Rhinolophus ferrumequinum: one gene and its partners. The protein of the gene in region 1 purifies or fractionates together with the protein of each later gene. This does not show direct contact. Links are inferred from orthologs where the notes say so. Each region holds a gene or a part of one and is shown in the gene's direction. Other genes may lie near its edges. The genes, in order: KPNA2, POLR1E, POLR3F and HECTD1.

Evidence for each region.
Region 2: the proteins of KPNA2 (region 1) and POLR1E purify together in Homo sapiens (affinity purification with mass spectrometry; 3 studies listed by BioGRID and IntAct, with this or other methods). This does not show direct contact. The link is inferred for Rhinolophus ferrumequinum from reciprocal best matches to the Homo sapiens genes KPNA2 and POLR1E.
Region 3: the proteins of KPNA2 (region 1) and POLR3F purify together in Homo sapiens (co-immunoprecipitation; 3 studies listed by BioGRID and IntAct, with this or other methods). This does not show direct contact. The link is inferred for Rhinolophus ferrumequinum from reciprocal best matches to the Homo sapiens genes KPNA2 and POLR3F.
Region 4: the proteins of KPNA2 (region 1) and HECTD1 purify together in Homo sapiens (affinity purification with mass spectrometry; 3 studies listed by BioGRID, with this or other methods). This does not show direct contact. The link is inferred for Rhinolophus ferrumequinum from reciprocal best matches to the Homo sapiens genes KPNA2 and HECTD1.

Annotation. Positions count from the first base shown.
Region 1 is NC_046304.1:43,076,539-43,083,598, reverse strand, and holds the start of KPNA2 (importin subunit alpha-1), read left to right. Parts: upstream 1-4,057; 5' UTR 4,058-4,215; intron 4,216-4,957; exon of another isoform or gene 4,958-5,051; intron 5,052-5,302; 5' UTR 5,303-5,325; coding exon 5,326-5,400; intron 5,401-5,551; coding exon 5,552-5,689; intron 5,690-6,823; coding exon 6,824-6,912; intron 6,913-7,060.
Region 2 is NC_046295.1:53,175,335-53,182,557, forward strand, and holds the start of POLR1E (DNA-directed RNA polymerase I subunit RPA49), read left to right. Parts: upstream 1-4,214; 5' UTR 4,215-4,326; coding exon 4,327-4,402; intron 4,403-5,007; coding exon 5,008-5,111; intron 5,112-6,386; coding exon 6,387-6,463; intron 6,464-7,223. UniProt on the Homo sapiens protein: Component of RNA polymerase I (Pol I), a DNA-dependent RNA polymerase which synthesizes ribosomal RNA precursors using the four ribonucleoside triphosphates as substrates.
Region 3 is NC_046306.1:38,711,265-38,718,534, forward strand, and holds the start of POLR3F (DNA-directed RNA polymerase III subunit RPC6), read left to right. Parts: upstream 1-4,247; 5' UTR 4,248-4,407; coding exon 4,408-4,538; intron 4,539-5,253; coding exon 5,254-5,371; intron 5,372-7,270. Other genes in the region: DZANK1 (double zinc ribbon and ankyrin repeat-containing protein 1), read right to left, coding at 1,620-1,728. UniProt on the Homo sapiens protein: DNA-dependent RNA polymerase catalyzes the transcription of DNA into RNA using the four ribonucleoside triphosphates as substrates.
Region 4 is NC_046289.1:80,128,504-80,136,195, reverse strand, and holds the start of HECTD1 (E3 ubiquitin-protein ligase HECTD1), read left to right. Parts: upstream 1-4,680; 5' UTR 4,681-4,986; intron 4,987-6,388; 5' UTR 6,389-6,409; coding exon 6,410-6,549; intron 6,550-7,692. UniProt on the Homo sapiens protein: E3 ubiquitin-protein ligase which accepts ubiquitin from an E2 ubiquitin-conjugating enzyme in the form of a thioester and then directly transfers the ubiquitin to targeted substrates.

The DNA of each region.
Region 1 (7,060 bases):
TATTTGTGTGTTGTAACAGCACAGCTGCTTTTCTATAAACTCTCTCTAGTACTGGAAAAAAAATGTTTGAAGCCAGCACAGTGGGATCTGCTCACACACCCCTTGGGATAAAAATGGGGAGAAAGTTTTCCATGTGTGGCTGCCATGGTGAAACAGTACGAAACGGAAGACAGAAATATGTCTGGTCGGCTTTTTTCTTTTGAAAGTCAGTAAAAGTTAAGCAAGAAAAATGCTCCTCTTTGGAGTCAGATCTTAGCTCTTTCTCTTGCAAAGTTCCAACTGTAGTGTTTTTAAAACGCGGAGATGCATTTCCTAACTGTAAATACAATGGTTCTCGAGCTCGCTAGAGACGTGAAATAACCACATTTCAGAATCTACCTTTACTGTTTCACTGCCCATCATCGTCTCCCTCTCCACCAAAACAAAACTCCGTGCGACCCAGATGGGACTCGAACCCACAATCCCCAGCTCCGGAGGCTGATGCCTTATCCATTAGGCCACTGGGTCACCACAGGATCCGGGTTCTCGCACCGTCTCCTTACGCGATGCCATCATCGCGCCCCGCCCTTGCGCTCCGCAGCCTCGCATCGGGCGGTGAGTATTTTGGGAGCCACCCCCCCAGCGGCGGCAGCGCGCGCCTGCGCCTTCATACATCCTTGACCCAGACAGCAGGCCCACCCCGGCGCGCGTGCGCGTGGCTCCCCTGCCCCTCTTCCCGGGACTGCGTGGCCCGCACGCGGGCGGCGTTGTGCCTGCCTGCTGGGTTCTTGGAAGGTTCTCTGCTCTCGTTGCATATTAGGCGTTTCTGGGGAACTTCAAACAAAATTCCAATGACTGTACTCCCCCCGTTGTATTTCTTTTTACCTGGGCGAGCCCGGGTGTCTGCATTTTACGAAGCTCCCATGGACCTTCTTCTGCCACCGGCCTTAAGAACCACTAGCAGAGCGTAAGGTCCTCCCGCAACCCCGTCCCCCAACCTTCCCATCCCTTACAGCCACTTCCCTCTCTTTCTTGCCCGCACGTATTCCACGTTCATTAATTTGATAACCTATTACGTACTGTGGACTGTTGGGGGATTCCAGGGTGAACAGCCTTTTCTTTAAATCTGCCCTTCTTACCCCACTCATCTACATCTATTTTCCTCCCCATCTCCTCCTTCCCTCCAGATTAAAGGGAAAATGGATATAACAAGTTTCCTACATATAATACAAAAAATATATGGGTTTCTTTTACATCCTAAAGCTTGGTCTTGGATAGATGTGGAGACTTTCTGGTTCCATGCACAATATCTCTATGCTTGTTGCATGTAAAGATGCTGTATTTGGGGTTTTAAAAATAAAAAATTTCACTTTCTTTTTAGACACGTAATACCTGTTCATTAAAACTGTGTAATATATAGGTAAACCAAATGAAGAAAACTGACCACAATTCTACCATTCAGAGTTAAGCACTATTAACATTTTGGTGTGTATCTTTTAAATCTTAGGTGTCTATGTGTCATATCACTGTTTTGTTAACCTGTGGACCACGAGTCATCGAGTCACCCTGGAAATGTTTTTCATGAAAACTGAGATATTATTAGTAAATAATAATTCATGAATCATTTAGCTCTGATGGTGCAGAAGCAATGGTAGGTAAAACTGACACTTTAGTGAATCTAGGCAGTGGCACCAAACAGGTAACAGTGGTATTTTCACCTTCCTGCACTGGGAATGGCAGGGTGGGGGGAACCAGCTTCACGTAAGAATGTCCTGGACTATGTATAAGAATCATCAGTTGAATTACGTCTTGACTCTTGAGTACATGCTGTAAATATTTTGTGTGACAAATGGGAAATATGCATAATCATTTCTGCATACCAAAATACAGTGGTCTCTGGAGGAAAACATTGGTGCAGTGTTTGAGTTGCAGGCTATACTAGCTACTTTTTCACTGGAACACAGTGTTTACTTGAAAGAATGACTGAGACAAACTAAGATTATTCAGATTTAGGGGTGGCCAGTTGGCTCAGTTGGTTAGAGCGGGGTGCTGATAACACCGAGGTTGTGGGTTGGATCCCTGCATGGACCACTGTGAGCTGCGCCCTCCTTAAAACAAAAACAAAAACAAAAAATTCTGACTTGGTCACATTTGGGTTTGCTTCTCCAGAGCAGCTGCATTCTCAGTGTCACATCATCACAGCACAGGATCACAGCACAGTCCTGTGCCAGAGAGAGGTTATGTCACTCTTAAAGGCCTCAGTAAACATTTTATTGCAGTGTCACTGTGTTAAGGCTTCATCACCAAACCAATCCCTGTGTGTGGCTGTGAGGGGCGGGGGTGGTGTATAGAATATACTGATTGGCCTAGGCCTGAATCTCCAAACTACAGTGGTTAATAGTGGAGGATGTATGGTTCCCCAGGGCAACATTGTACATTTCAAAGGCAACTTTCACTTTTGACTCTGTATTTCTGTTGTAGGTTGTTTTCAGCTACAAGTGCAGAATAGTGGTTGAGAGCATGGATCCTGGAACCAGACAGCCTGGGTCTGAGTCCTGTCTCTGCCTTTATTGGCTGTGTAAACTTGGACAAGTTACTTAACCACTTATGATTCAGTCTTCTGTAAAATGGAACAGGTGATAATACCAGCTTACAGAATTGTGAGGATTAAATGTATTAATATATATAAAACACTTAGAATATGTCTGGGCATATAGTACTTAATATTTGCAAACAAAAGAAAACTCAATTTAGCTGAAACAACAAAAGAAGTGTATTGGATGACGTAATTGCAAAGTCATAATTGCAGCCTTCAGAGGTAGGGCAGGCTGTTGATCAGAGCTTTCCTGGTTTCTCTACAACTGTCCTAGTCAAATTTCTAGGACTTATATCCTTCAGCTCCGAACAGCAAACAGCACCTGCTTTCCCACCTCCAATCATTAAACAAAAGGCATAGCCTTCCAAACTGGATGAATTTAGGTCACATGCCTGCCCCTGAACCATTCACAGTAGTCAAGAGAATACCCTGGGGTGACTGGTTTAGGAGTGAATTCCTTTCATATTTTTGCATTTAGAGGGATGGGATTCTGCTGATTGAGTAGGTGGGAGTAAAATCAACCTCCTATGAATCCCATTGCTGCTACACAATGAGTGAGGCTGGCACAAATGCCTACAAGAATGAACAAAGTTCAATGTTTGAATTTATAGTAAAAAAAAAAAAAATCGCAATATAACTTTTCTAAAAATACCCTTTTTAGAATACAGAAAACTTGCATAAAGAGAGCAAAATGGCCCATAATCCCGGTGCTCTAATAACCATCATTGATACTTTAAAAAATATACGTGGCAAAAATACAAACATTTTATTCAGAAATGTGTAAAATACAGCATAGAACATTACTGGAACGGTTGGCAAAACTTGAACACGGATACACACACACACACACACACACACACAGCAGCAGCAGCAAATAGCAAATGTGGCAAAAATGTTAACATTTGGCAAATCTGTGTAAAGATTTGCAATTCTGTATTTGAAATTATTTAAAAATAAAAGTGTCTAGAGAAACAGGCATAATAAACCTTTCGTTACCATATTTGTGGTTTCTATGCAGTCTTTTATGACGCAAGTTTTTTTAAAAAAATTTTTAAGCCACGCAAATGTGCCATATGCCTCTACTTCGTAACTCCATAACGGCCAGAAACCACTGCCAAGTTTCTTCTGTCCTATCAGGGAAAATATGCATAGCAATATGTTTCTATGTAAACATTTGTGAAGGACATGATTTTGGGAATCATTTGTAGTACTTGGTTAATCAGGGAAACGACCAAGAACTTCAAAAGCACAAATCCTTTCAAAGGCCACAGTCTCAGGCCAAGGCTGGGCTGAGAACCCGTCCTTCGTGCTGCATGCCGGGATTTGAAGTCTTTCCACTCCAAACTGCTAGGCGCTCTGGGATCGCCCGGCCGCTCCCTCATCTCGCGATGCTATCCTCTTTACGGCTAGGCCGTACGACCCCCGCTGCAACGTGTTTTTTAAATCCACCAATGGACGCACATCATAGACTCGAACCAGCCAATCAGAATGCGGGGCCACCGGGAAATTTAAATCGCGCCGGCCGGCTGCTCGAGCCACACTGTCGTCTGGCTGATCCGTGGTGTTCGTTGCCGAGTAGCGGACCCGCAGCCTGTGCTCCCCTGCGCCGTCTCCTGTGGAAGCCTGAGCCGGCTGTGTAGGTACGAACTCAGGTCCCAGCCCGGCCCGAGCGGTAACGGCTGACCTGCAGGCCGCGTTCTGCTTACGGGTGGCGGGAGGCGAGGCTCCGGGTACACGCCCGGCCTGGCTTTGGCCTCCTTGGTTGACTAAGCCTCTGGGGCGTCGTTTGTTGACGAAAGGGCTGTTCCGCGAAGTGAGTAAGTGCTTGGGCTTTAGGCCGCCGAAACTCGGCGAGTTTCATCAAGATCCTTTGCGCATCGGGGCTCGGAAAACAAGAGTGAGGCCGGAGGGTCAAAGTCCCGGGAGGGGGCGGCCGATTAGCTCAGTTGGTTAGCGATCGTGCTGGTATTCCCAAAGTCCCGGAGTGCGCCCAGTACCTCTGGCCCCTCCTGTGGCGGTTACCGGCTGTATCTTCCCCGGGGTGGGGGGCAGGGGAAGGGAATAGAGATGGAGGTGGCAGTTGGAGAAACTATCTCAACACGTAGGCCTTGGGTTGGCTGTGTCAATTTCGTAAACGAACATAAGGGAATAAAGATAAATTGTAAGGCGCTCTTTTACTTTTGTTACCTTTTGGAGATTGCTCATAAGTATCTTAGTCTGAATAATGTCAGCCTAATTAAGTGCATTTACTCGAAATTCCTGGAAATGAAAATGTAATCGAGATTCAGAATTGTGTCGCAAATTTTCAGTGTTGACAAGAAATGTTACGGGAGACTCCATAATGTAATAATAATGAACCAAATTTTTCTTTTATTTTTCAAGTGTGGAGAATGTGCCTATTTTGGCCATTTAAAGACAATAGAGAGAGCCTCCAGAGAATCTGAATGTATTTGCGCCTAGGACATAGATATTGACCGTAAGCTCAGTTCGCCTACTTTGTCTTCAATTAACTATTTACAGACTCTATATAGTGGAGTCTAGAGCCACACTGTCCAGTATATTAGGAAAGGCTTGTGGCTAATCCGAATTTTGAATGCTGTAAGGTTAAAGTACACAAAAGATTTTGGAGAATTAGTATGAAAAAAGTGTGAAATACCTATTAATGCTTTTCTTACTGACAAAGCAAAATGATAAAAGGGACATTTTTTTTCTCTCCCCATCTTATAGCTTTCTCCCTTTGTCTCATAACGATGTCCACCAACGAGAATGCTAATTCACCAGCTGCCCGGCTTAACAGATTCAAGAACAAGGGAAAAGACAGTACAGTGAGTACTTTCTGTTACTTTTGTATAGTATTTTTTGAATGGAAAATTATTTGGGAAGGGGTCAAAACTCTGAGGGAATTTGGAAAAAATGCCCTCACTTTCTAACAAAAACTGAAATGTTAGGTGAAGTGGTATGTTATCTTTTCCCAAGGAAATGAGGCGGCGCCGAATAGAAGTTAATGTAGAGCTGAGGAAAGCTAAGAAAGATGACCAGATGCTGAAAAGGAGAAATGTGAGCTCGTTTCCTGATGATGCTACTTCTCCACTGCAGGAAAATCGCAACAACCAGGTAAATATGTTTTAGCTTATAATTGTTTGAAAATATTCCTACCTTTATGGTTCTACCTATAAAATCTGTGAAGGTTTCCTTTTTGCTCTGAATCAGTAATTCTGATGGGTTTTCTTTCCTACCCATCTTCATAATCTGTTGAAGCTGATTCCAAGGTCTTCTGTAGTTTTGATCTTCAAGTTTCCCTGCGTTTACAGCTGCCAGCTCGGTACCTTGACCTGGCCATTCCAATACCACTGAAAGTGTGTCGGGAACCAATTGCTTTCTGGATTATTTCTACCTTTTGTTATTCTCTATTGTTTGTACTTGTCACCAGTTTTGTTCATGTCTTTTTCTTCTTGAAATACTGTTAGTATTCTTCTAATTTATTTTCCTTTTCATTCTATGCCACATACTATCTACCTAAAAATTTTCCTAAAATACTGCTTTAGACATATTCTTTCTTAGCTTAACAACTTTGATGGTTTTAAATCGCTATTTTCGAAGGCTGTTTTTGTAAATTTGATCCAGCTTAGATTTTCAAAGTTATCTCGTCTTTCAAAGATAATTGGGCACTTAATTGTTTTACATTATGCTTTCTTTTAGTGCTCCCCATTCTATCATTCAAAATTGAATACTACTTATGTGCTATTTCTAGAGTATTCTACTTAAATCCCATCTTCTCAAGTTAACTATAGCATTGTTTCTCAAACCTTTCTACTGTGATCACAACATAAAACATCTTTGCTGCGCTATACTTGGGAATGTGTCGATTACAAGGTTAGATAAGAAAATCCCCAGCACATTATTTATAACTCCATCCCTTGTTCCCTAAAAGCGTATCTGAATACAAGTGATTGAGATTAATGTCGGAATAACCTTCAGACTGCTGTAATTTTTTAAATTGTTCACAGTCACCTTTTTTAGTGACAAAATGCTGGGATACTCTGTAACTTGAGACTCCAGTAAGTCATGACACCAAGTTTGAGAACTGTTCAACATATAAAATAATATTTAATTAACAGGCAAAGTTAAATATAGGGCTAATACACATTTAGTAATTCATTATAAACCTTAAAATGTCTTCACAATGGCAAATAGGAATTTTATTGTTTGTATTTAATCTTACAAAGGATAATTCCATTGTTTTTGTAGGGCACTGTAAATTGGTCTGTTGAGGATATTGTCAAAGGCATAAATAGCAACAATTTGGAAAGCCAGCTCCAAGCTACTCAAGCTGCTAGGTAAGTCTTGTCTGTTATACATGGGTAACCTAAGAACTGAGCCTTTTTAGATTTTTTGGTTGGAAAGAGATAGATGGTGTGGGTAATGGTTAAGCCAGCCATAGTCCTGTGTTCGTTAGAATCTTCCTTTGGTGAAACTAAAATTTTC
Region 2 (7,223 bases), on another chromosome or scaffold:
CTTAAAAGATCTGAAAATTTTTGGAGTCAAATTTGACAGTGTATTAAGATTTAAAAAAAATGTTCATGCTCTTTGACTCATTAATTCAAATCCTAGGATCCCAACCAAAGAATTTATCCAAAAAAACCCAAACAAAGTTTTTATGCTTAAAAAGTTCATGTAATGTTGCATGTAACAGTGAGAAAATTGGGAATAGCCCAAGTGAGCAACTAAAGCATTGGATGTATAAACCCTGTGGCAACATTCAATGGACTATCGTGTGATTTGAGAAAATGCTTACAAGATTATTTAAAAATTTTTAAAAGGAGGATACACAATTGAATACAATAATGTATCAGTTATATAAACATATGCAGATATGCAGAGAGACAAATCTAGAAAGGAATAAAACAGAATGTTAACAATGTTTGCCTCTAGGTGGGGAAAGGATCATGGGTTACTATAATTGCATTCTTTATATTTTTCTGTATTTTTCCCAATATTGGACATCAAAATTGCTTTGATAATTATTGTAAATCTAAAAAATGTTGGGAAAAATAAAAAAATCTGAGTAAGCTAAATCTAACACGATTAAACTTAGGCCTCACATAAAGCTCTGAATCTTTGTTTTTTAAAAAAAATCAGGGATGGGGTTACCAGTTAGCTCAATTGGTTAGAGCGTGGTGCTAATAACACCAAGGTTGCTGGTTCAATGCCCGCATGGGCCAGTGTGTGCGCCCTCCTTAAAAAAATAAAAAAAATAAAAAATGCAGGGATAATGTGACTTAGCAGAAGCAAAATCAAGAATTTTGGTTTATCAACCCTAAACAACTTAACTGAACAGTGTAGATGCTAAGAATAAATTCACATATTGGTTTCATTAAGAGAGGCATGGCAAATAGCAGAAGGGAGGAGATGGGTCCTCTTTATTCTGTGTTACCCAGCCCAGAGTTGGAGTATTGATCCATGTGGTGCTCCAGTTTGAAAAAGATCCAGATGTACTAATGTATGTCCCAAAGTGGTGACCAGATGAAGACAGACCTAGGAACTCTGGTGTGTGAAATAGCTGAGGGGCTGGAAAGAGTTGCTGAGGAGCAAAGGAGCAGGTCAGTGGAAAGTATGGTCAGAGTAGTCAGGCTTTTGAAGGGCTCAGGGCAGAGGAGTTGGTCGTGTTCTGTGTGGCCCTAGAGAAGCAGAACTGGCACCACAGGTAGAAGCTACAGAAGGCAGCTTCAGCTCCATGTAAGGAAAAACCTAGCCAAGGTGAAAAGTCTGCCTTATAAGAAATGAGTCGTCCATGTCTATAGGTGTACAAACAGAATCTACATCAGAAATATGAAGGAAGAGAAAAACAGAATGGAGAACAGAAGAGTGAGACAAACACAGAAAAAGAAACAAAGGGATAAAAAATTGAGGCAGAGGCAGAAGAAAGGAAGAGAAAAGATGAAATAGAAGAAGAAACATTTTTGACAGTACACAATGAGTGGCTACAAACATACTGTGGGATCTTGTCTGCCTTTTCAGGCCTTCATTAGCGATATCTTGAAATGCCAGCAGATGGAGATATTACCCCAGGAAAGGAGGATTCTGCCTCATCCCTTACTTTCAAAATATATATCAAGTTTTCCTCTTCTGAAAAATGATGCTAAGAGACAACTCCAGAAGTCGATGAATTTCCAAACCAAATTTACAAACAAACATTTATGGTAAATTCTGCCCGTGATTACCCTGATTCGAATTTAGAAGAGGTCACTATAACTTTTTGTATTTTGGTCACTGACTGAGTGACCAAATATTGTCCTGTCCCACTTAATGTATATGTGTATTTATATGTATATGGTGTATATGTGTTTTGAATCATTGCGAAATAACTAAACAACATAGTCCCGGTCTCAACCATCCTGTCATTAACACTTTCCTTCCCCAGATAGAATCTCTGTCACTTTGAATTCTTGCCTGTGGTAATTCTGGGAGTCTTTGCTCTAACTCCATATGTGGTACTCTTGGCTCTTTCACCCAGCTATAAACAGCCAATTCTGAGGACTTGAACAGACTTTGTCTGACTGGTAAAGATGCACCTTGAAAGGGAAACAGTCTTGTACAAGAGTGCTTCCCAAGCATAAAGTGCACAGAAATCACCTAGGGATCTTGTTAAAAGTGCAGATTCTGATTCAGATGACTTGATAGGGCAGGAGATTCTGCACTGCTAACAAGTTCCCAGGTGATGCTGCTGGCCTGAGGACCACACTTTGAGAAGCAAGGTCATACAATATGTCCCTTTATCAGGAGGGGCCAGGACACTTCCCTCATGAACTACAATTGACTCCTTGTAGACCCTCCTGTCTTCTTTGTCACCCCTTAACTTTGATCTAACTGTTCATATTTCATTCAACCAGTCAACACATACAGAGAATCTACCATGTGTAAACACAATGCAAGTTCATTTTAACCAATATTATTAAGTATCTTGAGTTCCAGTCCCTATGCTAGGCTCCTAGGATTAGTGATGATTCAGAAACCAGCTTGATGGGGTTCCCACTGCCTAATCTGGGAAAGTTTGAACATAAAAATAAAAATAAATGATAGTAGCATATTCTAATCTACTGAATAAAGTAGGAACCCATAAATTCATACTGATATAATTAATGAGTGAATAAATCAGAAGTATGATGAACAGGATACGATTTACTTAGTCTCTAAGTACCTGCATACAAAATACTTATTAATTACAAAGGAGAAAGAATAACATTACAGTAGTAAAGCCTGATTGATACCACTTTAATTAAGTGATCAAAGTTAATATAAACAGTAATGGGACAAATTGAAATTGTGTGCCACCTGATAGGATACAGTTAGAACAGTCTCATGTTTGTGATATTCCTGCCAACAATGCATAACCTGAAACTAATCACTTGGAAACATTAGACAAACCGAGACTGAGCAACATTCTACAAAATAACTAGCCTGTAATCTTTTAAATTGTCAAATTATGAAAGTCAAAGTAGAGTAAGGAACTGTTCTATTAATAGGTTGAAGGAGACTAAAGAGCTATGACAGCTAAATGCAACATGTGAGTCTGGACAGGATCTTTTTGCTATAAAAATATTAAGATAGTTGGTGAACTTAAATGGAGTATGATGATTATATGGTAGTCACATATCAATATTAATTTCCTGATTTTGATGGCTGTATGTAGTTATTTAGGGAATGTCCCCTTCTAAGGAAATGCTATAGTCTTCAGGGGTGATGAGTCATCAGGTTGACAACTTACTCTGAAAGGTTCAGGTCAAAAACAAATTCTTTGCACTGTACTTGCAATGTTCCTGTAAGTTTGAGATTGGGAAAAGCATTACAAGTACTCAAAGGGCAGCTCAGTGTTAGGGTTATTCAAAATATCCTGGGTGTGTGTCTGGAGGAGATGAATCTTAAAGGAGATTGCAGAGCAGAGATGAGTCAATCCGAGTTCTTGCCCTGCAACAGTACTTGCCTTTGACAGGGCAAAAGGGGCCTCCTCCTGGGTCTATCCTTAGGGATTCTGCTTCGGCCCTTCTGCTTTGATAGCTGCCCATGTGGAGGGTTGAATCTTCAGGGACTATGGGACTTACCCATCAGATCCAACTTCCCGCCTTCTAGTCCACCGGAGAATCAATCCCTGTCCAAATGCTCTTGAGCCTGCTGAGCCTCTCCCAGGGTCCATCCTCCCTGGGTTGGTTGGACCACAGGTGTATGCACGCCTGGGCCTGAGGAATGATCAGGGCTAGAAGCTGTTTGCATGGTTGTGGACGAAACTTGGATTTAAGGACTGGATGTCCACGTGTGGATGGAGGCCCTAGAGACCAACTGCTCTCTTGCCAGCTGCCACATTTAGCTGGGGCTCAAGGAGTGCCTCTCAGAGAATTCTAAATTTGAAGTTGGCCTTTCAGGTCTGGTAGTATATATTTGTCACCATAGGGGAGATAGATCATACTCTACGTAGATCGTGCTGAGCAGGAAGAAAACCCACATGACTGTTAGGCAAAAGCAGCACGACTTTTAGGAACTTCGGACCCTTGTCCCACACAACCCTTCTTGCCCAGGCGGAGCGCTGAGCCAATCCGGTGGAGCGCCTCCGAGAGGCCGTCCAAGGATGAGGCGGGGCACAGTGTAGAGACCACGCCTCTGTGCGGAGAGGCGGGGCGACAGGCAGGCGGGGATTGGTGCGCCTCCGCGCTGGGGGCGGGAGCGCGGAAGGAGCGGTGTCTTGTGGGCCACGCCTGTTCCGGCCCGCTGTGCTACCTCGGAGTGTGTGGCGACCCGCCGGTGGCTCGTACTGTCTTAACTCCCGGGCTTGGCGGCCGTAGAGACGAGATGGCGGCGGAAGTGTTGTCGAGTGCGAAGTGGCTGTACTGTGGGGAGCCCGACGAGAGCCAGAGAGCTGTACTGGGTAAAGACTGCGGAGCTGGAACTGTTCCTCATAACTTCCGCTCCCGTTTCTGTACCTTTACAGCCCTCCCGCCCCCCCCCCCCCCCGCGCCGGACCCCTTTCCCAGCCGCGCCAAGAGCCCCTGCCACTCCCCACCACCCTCCTTTGTCCACCACTACTTGGAACTCGGCCAGGGCTCCTTTGTCATCCCACCACGTTTCTGCCGCTACCTCCCTCCCTGCTGAGGACGTCCTGTCACTTCCTCCCCAGGACTGTACCCAGGATCCTGTCATCCTCTCACTCCCGAGGTCTTAGTCCTGTTCCATTTCATTCTCTCCCCTGGGCAGGGATTCCATCGCTCTCTAGGTCTGGATGAGGCCTCCTCAGTTGGCCCCATCCCCCTAGTTATTCCTTACTGCCGCCGCCCCTCCCCAGGACCCCCTCACCTCCTCATCCTCTCTTCCCAAGTGGACCAGGACCTTCTTCAGTCCCACTTCAAGTCAGGACCTGGGCTTACTTGCCATGTTCATTTTTCCAATCACTCCCTCCCACTGACAGTCCAGTTCCTCCCACCATACCTTGTGGGTCCTTCTGATCTCATCCCGTCTGGGAATGTGATCTTACAGTCCAGTTCTCCAATGGGAAGCTGCGGGATCCAGGCAACATGCGCTTTACCTTGTACAAGAACAATGACTCCACAAACCCCAGGAAGAGGACCCAGCGGATCCTGGTAAGTGCTGCAGTGGCCAGTTGCCTCCACTCTGCAGGCCTCAGGACCCCTTGAGTGTGGGTCGATGTGGGAGGGAGTGAGAGGAGAAAAGGGGGAAATCGCAAATGAGCCTTTGAAGAATTCTTCTGAGCTCCAGCAGGTAGGGGTGTGGGGACAGGCTCCATTCAGTTCCATACTTTGGGTGAAGCGATAGCCTTTCATTCATTTGTTCATTCAACAGCATTTATTGAGCATCCACCTGGCCACACTCTGCGGGAGCTCGTATTCTAGAGCAGGGTTTCTTAACCTTGCTGCTATTGACATTTTGACCCAGATAATTCTTTCTTGTGGGGGCAGCCCTGTGCATCACAGGATGTTTAGCAGCTTCCCTAGCCTCCACTCACTAAATACCAGTAGTACCTCCTAGTTGTGACAACCTGAATGTCAGATATTACCAAATGTCCCCACGAGTGGGAATTCCCTGGGTTGAGAACTACTACTGCTCTAGAAAGGTCTTTGAGATTTTACCCAATCTCAAAGACAGAGAACATTGCAAGTTCAGTGCTTACAGAAACTTACAGAAACATTGCAAGTACAGTGCAGAGAACTCTAGAGAGTTGAGAGCTGGATGTGAGGGACACTCATACAAACAGACAAAGCTTAGGGCCGAGGGAGGGAGAGTACAAGGCACAGTGAGCTCCATCAACATCTCTGCTTGCTAGAGTGTCTCCCTGGGAGGGCACATGGAGCTGAGCTCGGAAGGATGGAGGAGGGTTTGACAGCTGAGGTTTTAGTATTCCAAGTGAAGAGAATAGTGAGGACAAACATTGTGAAGCAGTAAAGCTTGGCTGTGGTTGAGAAGTGAATCAGCCATTTCCATGGTCCTATGAGCATATAAGGAACAGTCATGAGAGAGGTGGGCAAAGAGGTTCAAGAAGGGTATGGACTGTGAACCCAGGAGGTTGCCTGCAGAATCAGTTTATTAATGCCTGTAAGTGTGGAGAGTCCAGGGTCTGTCTTCCAAGTTCTGCGGTGCAGCTTCCCCAAAAACTTTTCAGACCAGCTAGAAGCCTGCACAATCTGCAGCTTCCCTTTCAAAAGTCCTCTTGCCTTTCCCCCAGGGGCATCCCAGATTCACTTAGAGATAGTGAGGCTGGATGTCTCCTAGAGGCTCTGTAGTTCTGATCTTCTGTAGTTTGAATTCTAAAGCTTTTTGCAAATGTGGAAAAGGGAGATTAGATGCTTACTACCTTTCAACATTGGTTGCAATGGAGCTTTTCCCCCTGTGCATTTTAGGCAGCTGAAACAGACAGACTTTGCTACGTGGGAAACAATTTTGGGACTGGAGCCCTCAAATGCAACACTCTGTGCAGGTAGGGACAGGGGAAGGGACAGCTGGATGGGGAGGGGAGTGGTGGTAGCAGCCCTGGTACTGACTGCTGTTCTGTGTCTACTTTAGGGGATGTTTACTTTAGGGGAAGTGGGGGAAATCTGGAGAGGTTTACCAAGTCCCTGTGTTCCCAGAAGCAGGGGCCGTCACAGCAGCCTGTAGACATTCTTGAAAAGAAAGTTGACTTACATTTGTTGAATTTCCTGAAGAAAACCTCATTCGTTTGTAACATTCTTTAAAAAATTTTTTAAATTGGGACATATAACATTGTATTAGTTTCAGGTGTACAACATAATGATCAGATAGATATGTGTGTAATGAAATGGTCACCAAAATAAATCAGGTTAACATCCATCACCACACATAGTTACACATTTTTTTTTCTTGTAATGAGAACTTTTAAGATTTTCTCTCTTAGCAACTTTCAAATATACAATACAGTATTGTTAACTATAGTCACCATACAGCACATTACATTTCCAGGACTTAGCTTTAACTGTCTTGTTTCCAAAAGGCAACTGTCTTCACTAATATGGAGTGTATGATCAGTAGGCCAAAGCTTGCCAGAAGTTTGCTTTAGGAGTAACTACAAGGAAAGGATTTGGTAGTGTCAAAGGCTCCAGGGTTTCTATGCAGCTCTGCCTCTGATTGACTGTCTGACTTTGGGCAATTTTAACTTCACTGACCCCCGGTCTCCCCTGGGGTACGATGAAGATTGCCCAGCCAGAATGGTCTATAACTTT
Region 3 (7,270 bases), on another chromosome or scaffold:
TAGAACTAGTACTGTTGAGTTAAAGATATGTGTATTTGTAATTTTGGTTAATATTGCCAAACTTCCCTCCATGGATGCTGAAACAATTTACACTGCTACCAGCAATGCATCAAAGTGACTGTTTACAAACAATCTCATCCATATCGTGTGTTATCAATTTTTCTTTTGTTTTTGCCAATCTCCTACATTAAAAAAAGAGGTATCTTGCAGTTTTAACTTACATTTCTTACATTTTGAGTGATTCATTCATTCCTTCAACAAATATTTACCAAGTACATATTGTGTGGCAGATACTATTGTAGGCACGGGGAATACACCAGTAACTCCTTGTTCTAATGGAGCTTCTGTTTTAGGAAGGACATACAAACAGTAAAGTAGACATACAAAAAGCAAAAATTATATATTTTCTGTTGAGTTGGTGATTAAATGCAATGGAGTGAAGAAAGCAGGGGATAAGGTCTGCTCAGCAAGCAGATAAAGGGGTAGTTAGAACTGTATTCTCATATGATTAAAAGACATTTATATTTCCTTTCCTATAAAATGTCCTTTCACATCCTTTGTCCATTTTTCCATTGGGTTATTATTCTGTTTGTCACTGAATTGTAGAACCTCTTATTTATTAGACATTTTAAATGTTAAAGAATTTGGATACCCTCTCATTCATATCATCATTTGTCAATAACCATCCAACATCTAAGAATCATGGGCAAATATATGAAAATTTGTATTTTGCTCTGAGAATTTTAAAAAATATTAGCTTTTAAGATAAAGGAGACAGGGTATAATGTAATATATTCTTAGTTTGAACTCTCAGTCTACGAAGCATAGTGGTTGTAACATAACTAGAGATAAATAATTTTCACACATATCAGTTATTAAAGTATGTAACTGGAATCTCAAAGTCTGTTTCAAACAAGTATTTATTCATGCTTTATCTATAAAACTTTCCTTCCTTCTTATGTTATGTATAAGTACATAAAGGTGTGTGTGTACACGTACACACACACACACACACACACACACACACACTTCTGGCATTAGTAGGGAATTCATTCACTGATTTATTTCTGTAATAATAGCTAAGATATATTTTGTCATTACTATATGCTAGACCCTGTGTACCTCACATCAACTCATTTAATCCTTACAATGGTTCTAAATAGTAGATATTATCACTAACTTACAATGAGCAAACTGAGACTCAGAAAGGCTACGTAATGTACCAAAGATCACCAGAAGTTGTCAAAGCCAGGATTCATTTTCCAACCTGTCTGACTGGAAAGCCTGTATAAGTACATCAAATTTATTATCCCAGCAAAATAATGAGCATCCTCATTATTGGGATGGTACCAGGCATCTTATCTTGGTGAAGGTGAGTCAAGGCATTGCTGCAACTATGGACCTATACAAATGAAAGGGTGATCAAAGCTAATTGTTTCACTCTAAATACACACCACTCTACAAACCACCAAGTAACACTGTTTCAAATTTTGGAAGTTTTAAAAACTTCCAAAGGTCCTGATTATAGAAAACACGCAAAGAGGTAAATCAACAACCAGATGAACATAAAGAGTATGGCAATATTATTTTAAACGATTTCGAGTACTTTTGATTCTTACCTGATTTCATTTCCAAAAGTGTATTGTTATCAATTTCATGGTTGGCTTTTCCAGGCTGAGGCACTCGCAGTGGTATGATCTGAGGAACACACACTGAACCAGCAGTCATTTTCCCTGCTTATATTTTTAAAACGTGTATGAAAATAAATTCCAATGGCCACCTATATTTCAACACAAAAGCTGAAGAGAAACACCTTGTTTACAAAAATATAGTAAAACTAGAAAAAGCTAAAGAGAATACTGTTAATATATCACCTACAAATATTATTCAATTTTTAATTGAAATAATTATTGTTTCAGCTGTATTTTTGCTGTTGAGATCTTGTGTGTTGTTTTGATTATCTAAATACTTACTTCTGTGAAAAGAGCATGGATGAATGGGATGGGGGAATGGAATTATTTTAAATGGCCAAATTAAATGAATATATTAGAACAGAGACCTTCACTAATGATCTCATCAGAGCTTCCTCTGGATCATTATTATTACACTTTCCTGACTCTTATTTATCTCCCACCTCTCTTGGCTTCAGGGCAAGTCATCACACAGGAAAAACAGAAGTAACACTGTATGTACCCTGTTTTCCCAAAAATAAGATCTAGCCGGACCATCAGCTCTAATGCATCTTTTGGAGCAAAAATTAATATATGACCCAGTATTATATTATATTATATATTAAGTTATATTATATCATATCATATCTTATCATGTTATATTATATTATATATAAGGTATTATATTATATAAGACTCAGTCTTATAGTAAAATAAGACCAGGTTTTACATTAATTTTTGTCCCAAAAGACTCATTAGAGCTGGTCCGGCTAGGTCTTATTTTCGGTGAAACACAGTAGCATGTAGTATGTTCATTTAGAGCCAAGTCCTTTGAGAAAGCTCCAGGTTCAGGGTCCTGCAGTTGTAGCCAAGTACTTACATTTGTTACCTGCAAAGAAACTTTAGGAGGATGGCAGATTATCACACCTCAGCAGAAAGGAAGTTGGTACCAACATAAACAGTGAGCAACAGGTAACAAAAGTCTCCCACTCCATCTACTATATTTATAAATAATTAAGTATGAGTGTGGAGATCTTACTGATCTTTTTCCTGAGAGGTGTCATAATTTTTAATACCTAAAGGATTCAGAGGGAAAAAAATAACCCTCACCTTAATACAGCAACCATTTACATCTCTAAATAGCCTTTTCAAATTATGAATACATGTCTTGCTCATTTATAATCTATATATTCATTCTTTTTTTACAGTCTAGTTATTGCACCCTCGCTCTATTATTATTTGCAATTTTTCTGTTATTTACAATTTTCCACCTACTCATATAATCTTATTTATCAATATGTGGTTGGGCATTTAACATATAACTAGTTTCTTTTTAGTTTTGGTTGTTACAATTCCAAATAACGATGCTCTTGTGGCGTGAGTTTTGTCACAGGCTGTATTCCCAAAACTGGGATAACTAAATTTAAGGAGTGATCTTAATGCCTGGTTATATAGCTCCAGGTCAGAGGCCAAGAATTTGAACTGCAAATACTGATAGAGCACTAGCCCCTACAGAAGGGTGGCTGGTTTAGGGAGGCTTGTCAGTCCTCACTTTCCATTTATGTGAGAGGCAGTTAAAGTAGTTCAAAATCAGTTCAAAGTAAAAATAGTTGAGGAGGAAGTAATTCGCGCGCGGCAACTAGGAGCTGCCCTTGGGAGGCTGGGACGGCGAATGGGCCCCAAGCGAAGAGGATCAAGAAGGAGACCAATCCGCTAGGCCCAAATGGAGGGTAGGATAAACAGCACCTCCAAACCCCAACAACATTGCCTGCTTGCCACCGGATCCAAATCTGGAGCCCCGTCTGGTCTGCGTACCCGCCCATCAGGAGCAGCCAGAAACACCTGCTTCCTTTCGGCTGGAGTGAGGAATGCCCTCCTCCTCCTCTGGCTACCGGAACCCAGATTGTAACCCCTAAGGCGCCTCCGCCACTGGCAGCCAGTAAACCCACCTCTCACTGCCTCTTGCCTTCTCCTTTGCCACGGTCTGGGTTACCACAGACGCGGGGAGCTGCGCCCCGCCCACTGAGTTGGGCAGATGATTGGCGGAAATCCGGCTTCCTAGCAACCAGATCCGCCCTGCTGTTTGGCTAGGAGAGGGGAATCCGCCTGAATCTCCTTTCCTAAGGTTTCAACATAGGCATCCAAGAATATGCCTTCACAGAGATTGGAAAGTGCTAAAAAGTGGCGTTCCAATTCAGAATGATGGAACCAGGCTCGTTCGTCTGACAGACACTGACATTCTGGTAAAAAAGAATAAGGTGTAGCGGCTCCAGCCAGTGACGAGTAACAGGCGTGGCTTGGGCACCTCAAGCCCACAGGCAAGGAAGGACCGTCTGCGACACGAGGAAAAAGACCCATCGCCCGCGCCTGAAGCTGTCTTTGCCGATTTTCTGGATCCCCAGCTCGCTATCTGGCTGCTCCGTGCGTCTCTTTTCCCCCGAGGTGGGAACTGCGTCCCATGGCTGAAGTGAAGGTGAAAATGCAGCCGCCTGACGCAGATCCAGTCGAAATAGAAAACAGGTAAATCAGTGAGATTCGATTCCCGGCTCGGGAGCCCACGCAGGCAGGCGGTCATTTGGGCAGACTTTTTTCGGGACAGTCAGTAGATGCTGGAGCAAGTTCAGTGAGCGTCCAGGAAGGGGATTACCGGATCTGAACACCTTCCACCTGTGGACAGCAGAACTCTTAATAAGTTTAAAACGAGCTTGACACTTTGCAACTTTGTGTCGGTGTCCGGATGCTGTTCGGAAGTTGTGATGATGCGCTTCCTTCCTGCGTTAAGGTGGTCGACGCTCAGAGAAAACTCGGTGTTTCTGCGTGGTGCTTGAGGATACGTGTTCTCATACAGGATTGCCTTTATCGCTATGGGAACTGTCAGGACAGAACGTTTGGGCGAAGTTAGAGTGCATTAGTGATTACGAAGCAACATTAATCCAAAAATAATTTCGGGGCAGTATTTAAGTCAAGATTTTAGGGCACGTCAAATGTTATATTCCTGATGTTATATTCTCTATGAGTGCACTGCTATTTTTAGGTTTACCACATAGTTTGAAAAGATCCCAACTTCCTCAAACTTATGAATAACATACATGATGATCCTGTGACAGAGGGAAGATAATGGGCTTATTTTTGTTTGGTGGGAATAATTCCAAAACCACGCCCCAATTGTGAATTGTTATAACCAATTTTGGCTTCCCACCAGAAATGTCTGATATGACTCCTGCTTGCAGACTTATACCTGCCCAATGCTGTATCTTAATTTTGTCATACTTATTGCATCTTAAAAAATTGAAGCCGCAGCGTTAATATCTTTTTCTGTGTTTTCATTTGACTTTTATTCTAATTTAAAGATTATGTTAATGAGGAAAACATATTTTCCTTAAATAACAATAATAATGTAAACGTATTTCAAAAACATCTTCCTCAATTTCTAACATGCGTTGATTTAGAACCATCATAGAAGCCAGACTATGTACCAAATGTAAAAAGGACACAATTTCAAATTGTTCTGCTAGTATTTGCCCCCACTGTCTCTTGAAATAAGTAAAAACATGAGTAATATCATTAATATCTTTGTTCGTAGGATTATAGAATTATGTCACCAGTTCCCTCATGGAATCACAGACCAAGTAATTCAGAATGAAATGCCTCATATAGAAGCCCAGCAGCGGGCAGTGGCCATCAATAGACTTTTGTCCATGGTAAGATGAATCCAACTAGTTCATGTAATTACTTATATATTACGATTGTCTTTACTTCTGTTATTAGTCATGAAAACGTTAGAAGGTTGTGACTGATAAGATTCTAAACCAGGAAACAACTCAGACTGCCAGAACTGAGCAAAGAAGAAGTAATTATGCATTATTTTACAAGATGAATGAAATAAATGTATTTTGTTTTCACTGTTGTATTTGTTAACATAATTGTCGCTAAGATACCTAAAGGCACATAGGCATAGTCTGTTCTCATCTTCTGTTTTCTTCCTACTGCTGATATTGGGCCTTTCCATACGAAATACATTCCCCTGATTTTTCTGTGAGTCATCACAAAGCCAGCTCATTAGGGTATCACTCTTACAATCTCAGTGAGCATTTCTAGAAGCGAGAATGAGTCCCGTTGAATATCAACAGTGCTGGGCCTTTGGGTGGAAGTGCAGGCTCAGCCCCGAGTGACACTTTAGATGGGATTATCAATGAAGCCCTTGTACCTGCTCTTACCTCTTCTGTTATACCTGCTCTTATATATCAGGGGGATATATTTCGTATACCTGCTCTTATCTCTTCCTGGGGCCCTAATGTCATTCTCTACTGTCTAAAAACACCCCACCTGTTAGTGTGCCACATGCTCTTACCTATTTCTCCTACTTCCTTTCACCCATCATCAAAACTCCCATATCTTGAGAGCATTTCAGTTTGTCTTAGTAGCAACTAGGTAAAAGATTTCTATACTGAGGACTCATCTGAAAGCTTATTTGCTTTTTAAATCTACCAGCTTTGTTGGATTTCTGGATCCAAGGGCTCTGGATATGGAGGTGTGAGGACAGGTGAACTTTCTGTCAAACTGTTTTTTCCAACCTTCTAGCTCAGGGTGGCAAACTTTTTCTATAAAGCGCCAGATAGTATATGTTTTAGGCTTTGTAAACTATATGGTTTCTGTCATAAGTACTCAACTCTTCAGGAAAGTAGCTATGGGCCACCCATATAAACAAATGGGTGTGGCTGGGTTCCAATAAAACTTTACTTATGAAAACAAGCAGTGGGCCAGATTGCCGACCCCAGTTTTAGCATAAGGAAAAAAGGACTGATGGTGATTTCTAGGTAGTTCACCATGGTGAAGGTCTTCAAATCTAGGAGGATAGAGGAAGGGATGCTGGGAGGTTGTGGAAATGGAAAATGCTTTTGTCCTCTGACCACCCTTTCAGCCTTTTCTTTTCTGTCTGAAAATCGTCCTCAGCAACTCCCTCTCTTTCATCACCTTAGTGACCCCACCTACTGCCAGTTCGATTGACTATAGGCAATAGGTAGTAGTGGAGCTATTGAAGAATTTTAAGCAAGGAGTAATTATTAATAAATCACAAAGTATTACTGATTTTAGCTCTTAAACAAGTCTCAAATTTGTCCACCTATTTCCATTCCTATTACCCCTTCATGTGTTTAGGCTCTTGGCTTTTACCTGGACTATTACAGTGCATCCTAAGTAGTTTTCCCGGCTCCATCTATCTCAGAGCAGCCAGCCTGATCTGTCTTTAGATACAGATCTAACCAAGTCACTTTCTCAACAAAAACCCTCTCAACACTAGAGATGCAATTCCAAACTCATGGGCTGACTACACTGAGCCCCTACCAACCTCACCCACCTCATCTTCCATCATTTCAGAGGGAACAGATTGTTTTTGGTTCCCTGCCACATCATGCTGTTTCATGTCTCAGGTCCTTTGCTGATGCTCTCTTCCCTGCTTAGAAAGCCCTTCTTCCCATTCGCAGACTAACTCCTCATTGTCCTTCAAGACTCTGCTCTGCTGTTGTCTCCAGGAAGCCTCCCTAAATCCCCAGGTTGGGCCAGAGCTTCTTCTCTAAGAGCCCATCCCACCCATTACTTAC
Region 4 (7,692 bases), on another chromosome or scaffold:
TGATTGCATAGATATTAGGTTAAATGATGTCATAATTTAAAATTAAGAAACATTTCTATCAGATTGTCTCAAAACCAGTATATCAGTATTGCTTCCTTTATCCTCTTAGACTCCCATATATTTTTTAAAAACCATTTTTATGAGATTTTTCAAACACACACAAAAGTATACATACTAGTATAATGAACCCCCAAGTACCTATGACCCAGATTCAACAGTTGTCCTTACTATATGGCCAATTGTCTTTCAGGTATACTCTATCCACTGACCCCTCAAATTATTTTGAAGAAAATTCTAATTATTATATCATTTCATCTGTAAATATTTTGGTATGCTTCTCTAAGTGAAGAAAACTCTTTTTCAGAAAATATAACCATTATACAATTATCATAGATAAAAACAGTTATGGGCGGCTGGATGGCTCAGTTGGTTAGAGCGCAAACTCTCAACTACAAGATTGCCGGTTCAATTTCAAGATTGCAAACGGTGACTGGACTTGGAGCTGAGCTGCGCCCTCCACAACTAGATTGAAGGACAACTACTTGGAGCTGATGGGCCCTGGAGAAACACACTGTCCCCCAATATTCCCCAATAAAATTTGAAAAAAACAAAACAAAAACAATTAACAAAAAATCCTTACCAGCAAATATCCAGAAAACTTCAAAATTATACAATTATTATGTAATTATTTCCCCTAATACATATACAGCTAAACTGTATTGAAAACATGTCTACCAAAAAGTTTTGAAATCTGTAATAAGAAAATATATTTATACAAGTTCTTGAAAATTTTCTGTTGAATGAATTTTTGTAAATCAGATCCTACTTTCCTTTTATTCATTTAAATTTTTTTTTTTTAAATTTTTCGATTACAGTTAACATGCAATATTCTATTAGTTTCAGGTATATAGCACAGTGGTTATACTTCTGTATAACTTACAAAGTGATCCCCAACAAACTTAGCACCCACGTGGCACCATACATAGTTATTACAATATTATTGACTATATTCCCTATGCTGTACTTTACATCCTATGGCTATTTTATAACTGCCAATTTGTACTTCTTAATTCCTTCACCTTTTTCACCTAGTCTCCCAACCCCCATCCTATTTTTCTTTTAACTAAGCTTATAATGTAATTGTTATGAACCCACGTTTGCTAATAAAGAGTAACAACCTTTTTATTTATTGGCAAGAATAATTTTCCTCAGGACAAAGGGTATAGGATGTTTACGAAGAGTTAGTAAATTATAGAAGGGTTTTTAGTGTTGGAGCAAAAATAACTTAACTAGGAATATAAAGTGCATAACTTTTACAACTGTTTGTTTTTGTGTTCACTACCAAGTGATATATGGTGCATATAGTGAATCTTGTAAGAAATTGTCAAAATTCTAGAATTTCTTTTTAAATACATCATTTTGAGTCTTTAGAAAAGTGCTTCCTAGAAGACAGTACTAAGAATTAATCATCTCAAGCTATATTTACTTTCTTGTTCTTTAACTTCTAATTTTGAATGAGTTTATACATTGAAAACGTTGCAAAAATAAATAGATTTCATATATATATATATATATATAATATATATATATATATATATATATATATAATATATATATATCCTTCACCTAACTTTCCCAAATATTATTACTGGGATGCCACAGTTGAAGTAAGTGAATTTTAAGAATGCATTTGATATTTCCTTTCAAATCTTAGATACAAATATGTTTGTTCTATACTACAAGATTCAATTTTGGTTTTTCCTTTTTGAACCTGTGAATAGATCCCAGTGACTATATATACTGAAGATCCTTCATGAAAGTGGGGCCAAAAGGCAGCCTGTTCCCTCTGCTTCCCCAAGAGGAGTTCCTTTCACACCTCTATGCTTCTCCACATGGTCTTCCTAAGTCTGTCTGGCCAGCTCCAACATCTAACATCTGAGATCTAGTTCACATACCATTTTGAAGGCTTCTGAGATGCCATCACCTCCTTTTTTAGTATATGTGCTGCCGTGGCGAGCACATCATTATCTCCTTGATGCTCCCAATGTCCCTGACAATATTGTGTGATAAGTACTCTCATAGAGGCAGAGGCGGGAAGTGTGTTACCTTCCCCTAGACTTTTATAGTTTATTGAAGTCTGTAATTTACTGTGCCTTACACTGTGTCTGGCATATAGCAATTCTCAATGTCCATTATTCTTATATTTTGACATCAAGATGAAACATTAGCTTGTAAACATATGCTGTTTTCTTGGGACATACCTTTAAGTATGGTCAGTTGCCTTCATCTGGGTCTTGCTTTCTCCAGAGCTTTATTCCTTTCCTTTAATGCTTTTACTTTGGGATCTCATATTTGAATTTAAAATATTAACATAATAATAATAAAGTCACAATAAAAGTCATCATTTTTTTTTGATAAGGTTTCTTTAAAGCATACTACAGTCATTAATTTTGGTGGCAGGGAGTGGGCAATAGGGATAGAGATGGTGAGGGAACAAAGGAAAATATACTTTAAAACTTAGTAAAGAGTAGTCTCTTTTTCTCTTCTATTTTCTGTGAACAGAATCATCATTTTCCTAGCTTTCAAGTCCTCCCTGTAGGTTAAAAAGCAAACCGAAGTTAATCATTTAAGGTGTGATATATTTTTAGAAAATATTTTTCATACTTATTTCTTCTCCATTCTTATTGTCAATACCTAAGTTCTTCCTCCCTCCACTACTGGAGCATTTCAGCAACATTCCAGCTAATCTCCTTGTCTCGGTTGCTCCTTTTAGCCACTCTGGACACTCCTGCTCTGTCAATCTTTCTAAGACTCTAATTTTTCCAGTCAATGTTCTATCCAGAACTTGTTAGTTACTTCAGCCTAAATTTTGCGTCCCCCACCCCCACATTTAAGGCCCTGCATACCTTAGCCCTTGCCTTCTCTCCTCTTTGCTTAATGCGGGTTCTTTGCTTGGGGCACAGGTCCTCTTTCCTTTATCTCAGAACTTATCAGGCTTTGCTTGTAATCTTTCCCTTCTCTTGCTGTGTCTACATTCTACCCATTCTTCAAGGTCCAGAAAGAATGCCACTTCCTCCTTGAAGATTTTCCTGGCGTCTCCAAGTCACATTCATAGCTCCTAAATAATTATTCTCATGTTTTGTGGTTGTGACAAGATAGTGGAATCCTCTACCCTTTTCTCTTGATCTGTTAACAGGAAACCTAGAGACCATTACCTGAAGACAGGAACATGTGATTATAGATATCTGAAGTGCAAATCTGTAATTTCCAAAATACTGGTTCTTCGACCCTATGTTGCTTAAAGACCCTATGATTGCTTAAAGAAGCACATCTCAAACACAATCTAATAATATTCATTTTTGTTTAAAAGATGAAAAGGTAGGGAGTATCTGGCATGGGTTTATTTATCTCACAAACCAAGGAATTCATTTCTTGATTTTAAAAAAAGAAAGCAGGCCGGCCTGGTGGCTCAGGTGGTTGAAGCTCCGTGCTCCTAAATCCAAAGGCTGCAGGCTGGATTCCCACATGGGCCAGTGGACTCTCAACCACAAGGTTGCTGGTTCAACTCCTCCAGTCCTGCAAGGGATAGTGGGAAGTGCCCCCTGCAACTAACAACTGGCAACTGGATCTGGAGCGGAGCTGAGCTGCGCCCTCCACAACTAAGCCTGAAAGGACAACTTGATGAAGCTGCTGAGTCCTGGGAAAAACACATTACTGTTCTCCAATAAAAAGTCCTGGAAGTACACACTGTTCCCCACTAAAGTCCTGTTCCCCTTCCCCAATAAAATCTTTAAAAAAAAAAAAAAGAGAAAGAAAGCTATATTCATACTTCCAATTAGTTTCTCCCGAAATATCTCCAATTATGTCCTTTAAGCGGGCATATTTTATTTTCAATGCGTTTGAAAGATGTTTGAAGGGAATAACCACGGACATACTTAGGAACACGAACCGCAGGAGTCAAAAGCACACTCTCAGTGCTGCTGCTTACTGGGAACGCCACTGGGCCTGAATTTATGCTTTTTGGAGCCTCAGTCCTCACATCTGTACAACGGAGATAATTTCGATACTATTTACTTCCCAGGCTTGTGGTGACAGGTTTTCGTTTCCGTGAGCTGCGGCGCAGTTTGCATCCATGGACCGAAGGGAGCCGCTTTTCCTCCCGCGATGCACTTCCTTGCGCGAGGAAGGGTGACCAGTGGGGTGGAGGGGAAGCGCGTGGCGGAGTACAGGTCGCCCGGCTGGAGGCTCGGCAAGGACAACTTGGGCGGCAGCTTCGCCGTGCAGCACGGGGCCTTCAGCAGCAGCGCGTTAAGCGTGTAGACGCCGTGCAATACTAGCAGGGCGTGCGTGCATCAGTGTGCGCGGGCTGCCGGGAGCGCGCTCGCATCGACTGCAAAGCGTAAAAGCGCCGCGGCGTACGGTAGAAAAGCGACAGCTGATAAAGCCGAGGGAATCCGAGGCCCCGGGGGCCCGAGCGCCTTGGCTGTGGCGGCGACGCGTCCTGCCTGTTGGCGCCTCAGCGCCGCTGGCCGACGGGTGTCCGCAGCGCCCCACGTGGCGGCCAGCCGGGTCGCTGCCAGGAGAGCCGATTTGCTCCGCCCCCGCGGAGCTCAGCTGCCCTGCTCAGCATCCCCGCCCAGCTCTCGCCCGACCCTCTCCCTTCCCCCTCTCGGATCGCGATGGACGCGGCCTCCCCCCGCCGCTGCTGGCAGCACCGCGCGGGCCTCTGAGCTGCGGGGCCTGAGGAGCCGCGTGCCGGCGACTGGACTTGAGCTGGCTTTCTCCCATCAGGGAACCTCTCGCTTTTCTGTCACCAGGTCCCCGCGGAGGAAGGGGAGGGACGAGGCGCGGCTTTTCCTGTGCCGCCTGCCCGGCTCGACCTGCGCGGCCTGCGGCTTCCTGGGAACTCGAGGGCCGCGGCCGGGCCTGGCTCTGCCCGCGGCCTGCTTGGAGCTGGACTGGAGTGGTTTGGAACGACAAGCCCGGGTAAGCTTGAGGGAACGGGAGGCGGGAGCTCCTTGGGCGGTCGGAAGGGCCAGGCCTGGGGGGGTCAGGATACGGGATGCCGGGCGACGGGCCGGGAGCGAGAGCTCCCGGACCCTAGTGAGGTCAGGTGGGCTGCTGCCGACTCACCCGCTTAGCCCCTTTGTTTCTCTCCCCTGGCCCTGCCCGCGGCGGGGCCCGGCTTGCGAGAGCCTGAGCCCAAGGCGGCCCCCCCTTGCCCTTCAGAAGGGTTCGCTGCCGGGCCAGGCCGGGGACGACCCGCCGGGCCTCGGGAGTTCAGGGCGCCGCTCCCGGGAGACCCGCTGTCCTGCCCCGCGGCCTCCTCTCGGGCACGGAGGCTTGCTTTTTCTCCTTCAGAACTTCCCCCTTCTCCTAGACACAGGTAGCTAACTTGGCTGGGTTTGGTGCGGGGAAACCGGAGCGCGGTGCCTGCGCCTCCCGGCGCGGGGCTCGGCTGGGCCCGGAGTGTTGGGTCATCCTGCTGGTCGCCGCCGTTGGGTGCCCACTGGTACCCGCCTCTGGATTCAGACACCTGCAGCTGGGTTACGTGGGACCTAAAGCTGTCCTCTTGTCAGGGAGTTTACAAGCTTTGGTAACGACTTGCCTGTTGGGGCTGCTTCTCTGTTTTGTGTATATGGTGTATATTTTTAACCAACTGCTCCATTCTGCGGGGATGGGGAAAGAGGGACATAGCTAGTTCATTGCATTTACTTTTAGCATTTCTTTTTAAACTTTGAAGAACAGTTGCTAAAACTGCCAAAATAATCAACCAAGTCTTTATTCATAGATAGATTTTTCTATCTAATTATCGTTTGTATTTGGAGATCTTAAGAATAGCAGTAAGTAAATTGAGAAGTCAGCAGAATTGTGAAATTAGAGCTAATTTTAATGCAGAAACTTAATTTGGAGGGGGATGGGATCAAACTGCTTAACTCTCCTCAAAATACTGACTCTAACCTTTATCTTAAGATCAGTTTTGGGTGGAGGAGGGGGGAAGAGGTTTGCTGGAAAAAAAAGAACCTTTAGTAAGGTGTTCTTTGCCTTTTGGCACAGACGTTAGTGATAGCAGTAGTGGGATCCGAAGCTTGTTTGACTGTCTTTGACAAAGACAGCTCTGGTTTCCAGTTAAGCAGCAACCTAATCAGCTTATACTCTTGTGCAAAACTGGTTTTTATTTAGTATGATATATGAACGTTAAACCTGAGGAATAAGGGCAGTTGAAAAACTTAGTTAAGCACTATATCTAAACATACTTATGAGTCTTTTCTAATTCCTAGGAGTACATCACGAAAATTTGGTTCTAGCTGATATAAAGGAAAAAATTTTAAACCCAAGCTGATCAGTCCTGGACATTTAAAGGACTTTTTCCCTTTTTTAATTTAAGCAAAGAGGCTTTTAAAAAACCATGGCAGATGTGGATCCGGATACATTACTGGAGTGGCTACAGATGGGACAGGGAGATGAAAGGGACATGCAACTAATAGCCCTTGAACAGCTATGCATGCTGCTTTTGATGTCTGACAACGTGGATCGTTGTTTTGAAACGTAAGTACATCCCTTCTTCATCTTCCTTTGGGGTTGCTGTAATGACATTTGTTTTCAGCCATTTGCTGACTTCAGTTTGTGTAGAATTTTTTCTAGGGAGTTTTACAATTTTTTTTTAACTTTATGCAGTTTTGCATTTACATTTTTCTGAGAAATAAAAATTGGTATGTGAAGTAACTTGAGTAATGATAATTGTCATGACACAAATACATGTTTGTTGAATGAATAGGGTTTAGTAGGGAGTACTATTTTAACCCATACCTTGGTTGATTCATTTTCAAAATATGTCACGAACTGGGAAAATACAAACACTTTCCTTCTTTAAACGTAGCTATTTCTGTACCAAGAAATTGATGTGGAAATATAGATGATAATGAAAATATGTTTACAACTGCCCATTTCTTTGTAGGTATTAAGTAATATGACATCATATGTTTGTTACAACAAATCATTGATTTGTAAATTTCAATTTGGAGGGTATAAATTGGATGTTACCCACATAGTATACTTTTTGGAATAGTAGGAACATTTTGAAGTTTGGAGAGTTTAAACAATTTTATTTAAAGGTTATACTGTAGAATTTGTGCAAAACTGTAAAAGAATTTATTATTAGATTGGCCATTAATGCCACGTTTTTCCTCTTATGTGATACTTGCTGAGTAATCATTCTTCTGAATGCTGAATACATTTGGTTTTTACTGTTTATTTTACATTTTGTATCTACCATTTTAAATTCCAATAATAAGTAAATGAAAACTCACTTGTTTCTATATTTGTTTTAACAACCATTTTGAGATAATTAATAGAAAATATTTGAGGTGTTGACATAAAATTTGGTATAATTATCTTAATTTTTCTGAGGTGGCAATAAAGGCTGTATTACTCACTAAATTGACAAAGTATTTTTAATTGTCTACATTTTTGAATGAATAAGTATTGAAAATGAATTAATAAATTAATAATTCTTAGTTGTAAATCTCATTAAAACAGTCTACTATTAAGGTAAAGATCCTTATAAACAAAATTTCTGAATCACAATCTGTTAGCAGCCCATTTATTTCAACTAGCTCTTCTTATTGACAAACTTTGAGTACATCACAATTCAGCCCCTTATTTGACATTTGTTTTAGCAGGATTCATAGA